Linked DNA regions of Sus scrofa. The main gene of each other region encodes a partner of the protein of the gene in region 2 in a complex. Links are inferred from orthologs where the notes say so. Each region holds a gene or a part of one and is shown on either strand. Other genes may lie near its edges.

Region 1 (4,542 bases), on a different chromosome or scaffold from region 2:
ATCATGGTTAAGCAGAAACGAGTCTGACTAGCATCCATGAGGACACAGGTTCGACCCCTGGCCTCACTCAGTGGGTTAAGGATCCAGCATTGCCATGAGCTGTGCTGTATGTAGGTCGCAGACGTGGCTCAGATCCCACGTTGCTGTGGCTGTGGTTTACGCTGGCAGCTACAGCTCCGATTTGACCCCTAGCCTGGGAACCTCCCTGTGCCATGGGTACAGCCCTAAAAAAAAAAAAAAAGGCAAATAATATCTTTGAGCTATTATGAAAACAGTTTTGACCTTGTGGACCTCTGAAAACTCTTGGGGACTCCTAAGGGTACCCAGACCACAATTATAATCTCCATTTCACAAATGAGCAAAGCGGCACAGAGAGGTCAAGGCGCGATCCAAGGACACATTGCTGGGACAGGTCAGAGCAGGCGAAGTGAAAGAGCATAATACCCTCTTTTGGTTGTTTGTTACAAGGACTGACTGAGATCATGAAGGTAAAGAGCTGAGTGTCCTGCTTGGTTATCACAAGCCTTCAGTAGGTAACATCAATATTTCCCGGTGGGTAAGTTCTAGTAAAGAAGTTAGGGAAGCACGGCACATTTCTCATCAACTAATTATTTGACACCAGCAAGAAAAAATAAAACTCGAAGGTGTTGTCCAGAGCATAGAGTCTGCACGGGCTCTCAGGATGGAAGTTTTTTGCTACTCAGAAACTCCAGGGCCTTATTCCACCCTCTATTAGGCAAATGATACGGCGGGCTGCACACATGTCGCCTTGTCCCTTGGGAAACCTGAGCAAGCCAAGAGAACTGCTCCATTATTTACAGCCTCCTTTTTGCATCACGCTGTATTTACAAGCAATCCTCCACAAACAACAATGGCGAGTCCAGTCTGTGCAGCCAAACCTTTCCTAGGAACTAGTGTCTATGGTCTTCCCATTCAGAGGCTCAGCACTCCACTGCTCTCCTTGTCCATCAACTTTCTTAACCCACATGGTCCTCCTGCTCCTGCCTGTGGCCGGTACTCAAGTTGAGAATGCAGGTCACTTTTGTCCCACCTCAATTGGAGAAGTGAGCTCACCTGGGGAAGTGAACTGGGGCAGTTCAGGCCACTGCACTCTCAAAACACCACCCTAAACAGAAAGCAAGAACAAGAGGCGCCTAAAGCTACTGCTTCAATGCAAGTGCAGGCAACCAGCATCTCTCACCAGAAGCACTGCAAACTGGTCTCCCTGTCTCCACTTTGACATCCTCCGCTCACACATACCCCAGCCTACTCTCTACAAACAGCCAAAGCGATCTTTCAAAAGCGTAGAAGGGATAAAGTCAGTTCTCTTGCTTAAAACACTCTCAAAGCTCCACCACTCAGTTGGAATAAAATTCACGCTCCTTAATTTGGTTTATAAGGACCTACCTCATCTGGCCCCTGCCCATCTTTCTCGCTACAAGCAGGGGTTCCTCCTCTCTGGCCTTTGCTCTCTCTGCTCCCACTACCTGCCCTGCTCCCCTAGGATCTCCAATAGCTCAGATGTCACCTTCTGGAAGAGGCCTTCTCTGCATGCCCTCTGTAGAGTTCCATCTCGATCTCTCCACACGGTTCCACTGGAGACTTCAGAACACTTACTCTCAGAACTTATCCTAATTTTACTGATATATTCCTCATCTCCCCCTTCCACATCCTCCTCCTAGAAGGTAAGCCCCTAAAAGCAAGGGCTCCACTTGGTCCCCCGAGACACCTCCAGAGCCTGGCACCGTGCCTGGCACAGAATAAGCGCTCAGCAAACCCGTCGAATGAATGAAGCAGCGGCGCCCAGAGTCTCGACCTGGCGTCCACGGTGCCCCGGGCGCATCCGCACCATCCGGCCGCCACGCCGGGACCACTGGGCGTGCCGCCGGCCGTGGGACGGGTTGGGGGGTGGTGGGGCGGGATGGGATTACTACCCCACCCGACCGCGCGCCCGGCCCGGCGCAGCAGGTGCCTCCCGGGAACGCGCACACAGGCTGTCCCCGCCCCGGGTCGGCGCCACCGCCCTGCTCACCCGGACTCACCATGGTGGCCCGGCCGCCGGTATCCCCGGCGGGTGAGAGGCGAGCGCGGTGGACGCGAGGAGGAGAAGCGAGCGCTGGAGCCGGCGCGGCTGACAGGTGCGGTGCCCGCCTCAGACCATGGCTGCTTCCCACAATGCCCTCGAAGTGAAAGTTTGCAGACTCCTCCCTGCGCCGCTACCCTCCCTCCCCTCCTGCCCCTCCCATCTCCCTCCCTACCCGCTCCCTCCTCCCACCTCCCTCCTTCCCCTCCTCCTCTCCTCTTCCTCCTTCTCCTCTTCCTTGTCTCCATCTTCCCCTTTTCTCCTCCCCCTTCTCCCCTCTCCGACTCTCTCCTCCCTCCTCCCCCTCCCCTCTCTCCCTCCTCCCCCTTTCTCCCTCCTCCCACTGTGCTTCGCGTTCTTCCCCCTCCTCCCGCCCCGCGCCCGCCCGGCGCCCGCATCGGGCCCCGCCCCGCGCTGTCCTTGCTGCCTTAGGTGCGAATATACCTGCGCGCGCCTCTGCAACCTGGCCTGCCCTGCCCGGCGTTGGTGGACCCCGCAGAGCAGATCTGCGCGGGGAAACCGGAGCGGGGCTGCTTTCCTGATTCTGCCGAGCGAGTGTGTCATTCATTAGCAGACCTAGCGAAGAGATTTCCGGAGACGCGTTCGGGAAGGGTCACTGGTTTTGTAGTCCTAAACCGCGTAAGGGAGGGAGCCTTTGGCGGAGCTAGAATTAGAAGCGATTTCTTGCCTCCGATTTCTTTCTTCTCACGTGTATGTATAATACACATATGGCTGCAGTACAAGGATGTGGGTCATTTCAGATAGGCCGGGTTTTAAGAGGTATCTCCTAAAACTGTAGCGTCCAGTATCTAATCTTACTCCTCCCCTTGGATTTTCTTAAGATTGGAGTTTCCACCTGGGGCCTTAGGAGTTTCCAAACCCCCAAATTGTAAGCAGAGCTTGGAGTGCATTTTATGTTCGTTTGGGAGAGTCGGTTGGTTTTATCAACTACCTAAAGACATGTGTGACCCCAAAAAGGTTAAGAAACTTTGCCTGAGTTTCTGGAACCAAAATTGGTGAAAGTCCTTCTCAGGATGTGCCTTCTGCGCGGCGCAGGGGGCGGGGGCATCCACCCGTTCGATGATGCCACATTCATCAGCGCTTTCTCTGTGCCCAGCCCTTCAGAAGGAGCGCAGGGGTCCAGCTGGGAACAAACAAGCTGCTCTCTTCTGAAGCTTATAGTTTCTCGTGGCTCAGCGAATAATAACCAAAATAAATAATTACAAAGTAACGAGTGCTAAGTAGGTGAGAAGATTACCACGAAAATGCCTACAGGTTGCTAGAACCTGCACAGCAGAAGCTGCATTTATTTAGCGGGGGCGTCAGGGAGGGCTGGTCCCTGAGGAGGTGACATGAGATGTGGAGGTGAGTGCTCTGAAGGGGGAAAAAAAAAGAGTCATCCTTCTCAAAAGACCCCAAAGAGGGCCTCTGGGGCTGGAGTTAAATTAGAGGAGGTCAGAGGGTGGGCAGGAGGCAATGGGTCTTCCCTGCCTTAAGGCAACCTGTGCACTAAAAGCCCCCAAGACAACTGCAGCCTTCGTCCTGCAAATTCTCAGTAAGCTCAAGTGCCTCCTGGTCCTGGATTTTTCAATGCCGCAGGCCTTTGATAGGTTCCCAGGGGGATCGGACAGGACCCCCCCCCCAACCCTCAGAGGTGGCTGTTCACCCTGGAGACCTGCTGTGGACACCCTCTCCCGGAATGTGGAGGTTCAAGTTGGGCAGCAAGAAACAGTGGCCTGCGGAAAATATCCACATCTCTTTATGGTCAGAGCTGGTGCTATTTTGAGCTCAGCCTGTGCTCCTCTGATGCCTTAATAAATCCCCTTTGTTCTGCTAACTTGGCCTTGAGCGATCCTCCCTCGGCAAACCTAACAACCTCCTGATAGCTTCCACCTGGGGTGGTGGCATCTGTCAAGAGAACTCTAGGACCCAGGGGCCCTGTAAATCAAAATGCTCCACTGGGAAGATGGTCCAATCCTGAAGGGGCCTTTGGTTTGCAAATCTGCTGTCATAAGCCTAAGTCAGGGAGCCTGGTGTGGTATGTGACATGGTTCAGATCAAAGCCATCTCTGAGCTGATGTGTGTGATTCTGGGCGTGGACATCTACTCGCAACACAAAGCCCTGGTGTTGTGTCAACTTGATTTGAGTTTCACTTCTCAAATCACTCCATAACTGTGTAGTAACGGAAGATACCGCGAATACAGAAAAAGCCACCATGGAGTCCAAGCGGGGGGAGAGGGAGGGTTGGAGTTACAAACAGAACATGATGATAAAGCAAAAATGATGATAGTCTAAACCAAAATATCAGCTTTCTAGAAATTGAGAAGAGTCAAGCTACAAGTTTTAAAAAAAAAATAAAAGAAGCAAAGGAGACACCAGCTTCAAAACCAGCTCTTACCCTTCCTCCAGGGCAGCACACGTTTGATTGAAGCCTGACCCCGCTGTTCTTGAATGCCTT
Region 2 (3,805 bases):
CTCACCCTTATCTCTGTAAAATAACTTCTCTGCCAAAATTCATTACCAAATGAGAATGTGGACATAAAAGAACTTTAAAAGGATATGAGAGGGCTTATAAAGAGGTGTTATTCTTGTTACCATCAATTCTGACTACTGTGAAATAGTATTAAAAAAACTGTATGGGAGTTCCTGTGGCACAAAAGGATCGACAGTGTCCCTGTAGTAGCGGGGACACAGGTTTAATCCCCAGCCTGGCATAATGAGTTAAGGATATGGTGTTGCAGCAACTGGAGCGTACGTAGCAGCTCCAGCTGGGATTTAATCCTTGGCCCGGGAACTCTATATGCAATGGGGTGGCCAAAAAACAAACAAACAAAAAAACACGAAAAAGAACCAAAAACGGTGGAATATGGAAATAGAAAGCTATTTCACCATCTGTTTCTGTCTGTTTTGGCTAAGATGATCTGAATCAAGATCCTGCTAAGAGAATCAAGAAGAAAATGGTACCTACAGGTCTGTAATGTATTTACTCTCCCTCCTTTTTTTTCTTTCTTTCTTTCTTTTTTTTGCTTTTCAGGGCTGCACCTCGGCATATGGAAGTTCCCAGACTAGTGGTCAAATCGGAGCTACAGCTGCCGGCCTATACCACAGCTACAGCAACACCAGACCCAAGCCGTGTCTGTGACCTACACCACAGCTCACAGAAACACCAGATCCTTAACCCACTGAGCAAGGCCAGAGATCGAACCTGCAACCTCATGGTTACTAGCTGGATTCATTTCCGCTGCACCACAATGGGAACTCTTCTCCCTCCTTTTTCTGACATCCGTCCACAAGGCTCACAATTCATTTGGGGTGCACTATCAATTTTCTTCCCTTGTCCGTGTTTAAAGTCAGTTCCCCCCCAGATGATTTATGCCCCGATACATGGACTATTATAAGTCCCACAGAGCTGTCACTTGGCAGCCAGAGGAGGGGCTTACCCACAATGCTATCGACCTGAGCGTCTGCTGTGTTAGATGCGCCACCTCGATGATCCAAGAGAGCTTCAGTCCTCTCTGCTGCTGGCAAACAGGGCTGCTGTTGAGGAAAACACACGCAAGCAACAATTTAAGAAGCTGCTTCAGAACTAAATCCAAAAAGGCTCACACTTCCACCCACTGGTTAGCTTTAGAGAAGTAGAAATAGGAACTAGAGACCAGGAGAGATGAAACAAGGATCAAGGTCACATTAAGAAAGGCTAAAAGACCACTAACTCAGGAGTGTTTTTCCTCAAGGAAAAATTAGCAAGTGTTGTGATTTTGCTATTGACTATTAAAACATACTGTTTTGTTTTAAGATCATGCTTTTTTTTCAAAATCTGAAAATGTGTAAGATCCTATCACAAAGACCTCAGAGACTGAGGAAGAAGGTCCTGGAAAGACAACATGGCACTGCCGAACGTGCTCATGGCTTCTACCTGCCGACCACAGCCGTCCTGGACCACAGTCCTTGAGGACAGAGGGTTGAAATCAGCTTATTAAACTCATTAAGGGCAGGTACCTTGCTTCAGGTTGTAGAGTACACAGGAAGTACTTAAAAAGAACCATTAATTTTATTTTATATTTAAAGATCTAGAGGCAACTTTATGCCTCAAGGAAATCCTGGCATATTTTTAAAAGCACTTTAGCAAAAACACATGCAACAGCACAAATTGCAAACATCTTGAAAGGGCTTACTGCTTTAATGCCTAAATAGCCTTTTCTCAATAGGTGGCAGGCATAAAAAGGGCTATTTTAGATTAGCCTTCTATCTATTTCTAATATTCTCAGTCACTTCTTAAATGGAAAGGGAAGAAATGATAAATGGTGTAAAGATTCACAATGATGAGTAGAAATTAAAGCCAAAGCAAAGAAAAGATCCAGGAAAAAAATCTCTACCTCTGAATGGCAGGTGTCTGCTGATCCAATGTTATGGTTTGCTCCAGCCAATGAGCTAAGAAGGCTAAAGCCTTGGTTCTTCTCTGAAAAGAAAAAAATACAATCACTGAAATTTTTTATTTACATTTTAAATTGTTAAAATGACTGTGACAATAACATAATAGTTAATAATAAAATTTCTAACTATAAAAAATAGTTATCATCATTTACCATACTCTCCAAATTCTGGGTAAATTTTAAATCACAGAGTATCAGTCCAGGTCAAGTAGATGGCAAGGCCATTACAACAAAGAAAAGGTTGCTCAGTGGTTCTGTTTGCAAAGATTAACAGAGCTGGTGTTCTGACAGTCATTATGAACTAATATTGCAGTGTTTTAAACAATTAAAATTAAAAAGAATCAAATACCAAGGTATTATTATCAGGTAAAAATGAACATTCATGTTTTTTTGAAATAAAGCTCTACTCGTGCAGTTATGGTTCCCAATGCTCTCGCTATTTGTATTTACAAAGGAGGACAAATCTAGAGCAAAATGTCAGAACCCAGCCCTGATTTGGTAGGGTTCCCCAAGAGTCACCTGGACAGTGACTACCCCAGTATTGAATATTGACCCTGCTTTGGACTGAGTTAGAATTTCTGTCTAAACAGAGACCAAGGAGTCTGAACTTTTAGCAAGTACTCCAGGAGAGTCCTTAGGATCAAGAAAATTGGAAAAACAAAAAACCAGTGCGCCTGAGAGTAGAAAGTGAAACCTACATCACTCAAGAGTCTAACAGTATAGAGGTCAAAGAACTCCTCTCTCAAAAAGGCTTCTTCCCACCTCACTTTCCTCTCCCTATCACTTCCCTGACTCCATTCTCACCCATCTCTCAACAACCTCCAAACTTCCTAGTCCTCGCCTCTGGTGGGTGAAACCTGTTGACAGAACCCCACAGAAAGAAAACCACTTGCAGGCCCCTCACTCCCATTTTAACTTGGGGAGATTTGCCTTTAAATCAGGATGAAGCCCAACTGTAGCATCGGGGAGGTCCAGGCCTGAGCTTTTTCCATCTCCTGTTACCATCTCCTCATGTAGTACACTTGGCCTACTTGTACAGAGGTACTAACCTGGTCGGTACCTGTGCTTGAAGGCTAGGGGGGCGCTGGGCAGTACCCAGGGTCTCTGCTGCTCTCTGCGCTTCCTGCTCCACAACCTCAACAGTGGCAGTGGGGTGAAAGGTGTGCACGTACTCCTGGAGTCCCCTTTCTTTTTTTTTTTTTTTTTTTTTTTTTTTTTGTCTTTTTGTCTGTTGTTGTTGTTGCTGCTGCTATTTCTTGGGCTGCTCCCGCGGCATATGGAGGTTCCCAGGCTAGGGGCTGAATTGGAGCCGTAGCCACCGGCCTACGCCAGAGCCACAGCAACGCAGGATCCGAGCCGCGTCTGCAACCTACACCACAGCTCACGGCAACGCCGGATCGTTAACCCACTGAGCGAGGGCAGGGACCGAACCCGCAACCTCATGGTTCCTAGTCGGATTCGTTAACCACTGCACCACGACGGGAACTCCTGGAGTCCCCTTTCTCAGCAACCTGCCCACCCATGAGGAACTCTGCAGGCCCAAGACCTGGGGGAGCCCCATCCCAGGACCAGGCTTCAGTGAGGCAGACTGGGGAGACTCAGAGGCTGAGACAAGTGTCCCACACTGAGGGTTTCACAGAGCCTGGGGGTGTTCATTCAAACACTGACATAATCTTTTCTTGTGGCCAATGTGCTATAGGCTTTAAAGCAGTTGTATGCAGTTATACAGTATTCTGGGATTTTACATGTCAGGAGGATACATGAGAGTTCTTATAAAATACTTTAGGCTCTTTGTACAAAAGGCATTTATCTGAGTAATAGAGCACTGATGCAAGAGGGCCCTTACT

Evidence for each region.
Region 1: the proteins of AAGAB (region 2) and AP1S3 are in contact, whole or in part, in a crystal structure (PDB 9DDT), measured with the Homo sapiens proteins. The link is inferred for Sus scrofa from reciprocal best matches to the Homo sapiens genes AAGAB and AP1S3. Residues at the interface, in NP_078942.3 of Homo sapiens: Asn51, Lys52, Tyr53, Tyr54, Glu108, Val109, Met110, Ile111, Gln128, Ile132, Gly135, Phe136, Glu137, Asp151, Phe153, Pro154, Glu155, Arg161, Gln164, Ala165, Asn167, Ala168, Asn169, Val170, Met176; in NP_001034658.1 of Homo sapiens: Arg10, Gln11, Lys13, Arg15, Gln37, Leu40, Ser41, Arg61, Tyr62, Ala63, Ser64, His85, Val88, Asp92, Phe95, Val98, Glu100, Leu101, Asp102, Ile104, Phe105, Asn106.

The regions. Positions count from the first base shown.
Region 1 is NC_010457.5:125,634,260-125,638,801, forward strand, and holds the start of AP1S3 (AP-1 complex subunit sigma-3), read right to left. Parts: upstream 2,957-4,542; 5' UTR 2,648-2,956; coding exon 2,528-2,647; intron 2,214-2,527; exon of another isoform or gene 2,046-2,213; coding exon of another isoform or gene 2,043-2,045; intron 1-2,042. UniProt on the Homo sapiens protein: Subunit of clathrin-associated adaptor protein complex 1 that plays a role in protein sorting in the late-Golgi/trans-Golgi network (TGN) and/or endosomes.
Region 2 is NC_010443.5:165,137,345-165,141,149, forward strand, and holds part of AAGAB (alpha- and gamma-adaptin-binding protein p34), read right to left. Parts: intron 1,985-3,805; coding exon 1,902-1,984; intron 1,063-1,901; coding exon 966-1,062; intron 1-965. UniProt on the Homo sapiens protein: May be involved in endocytic recycling of growth factor receptors such as EGFR.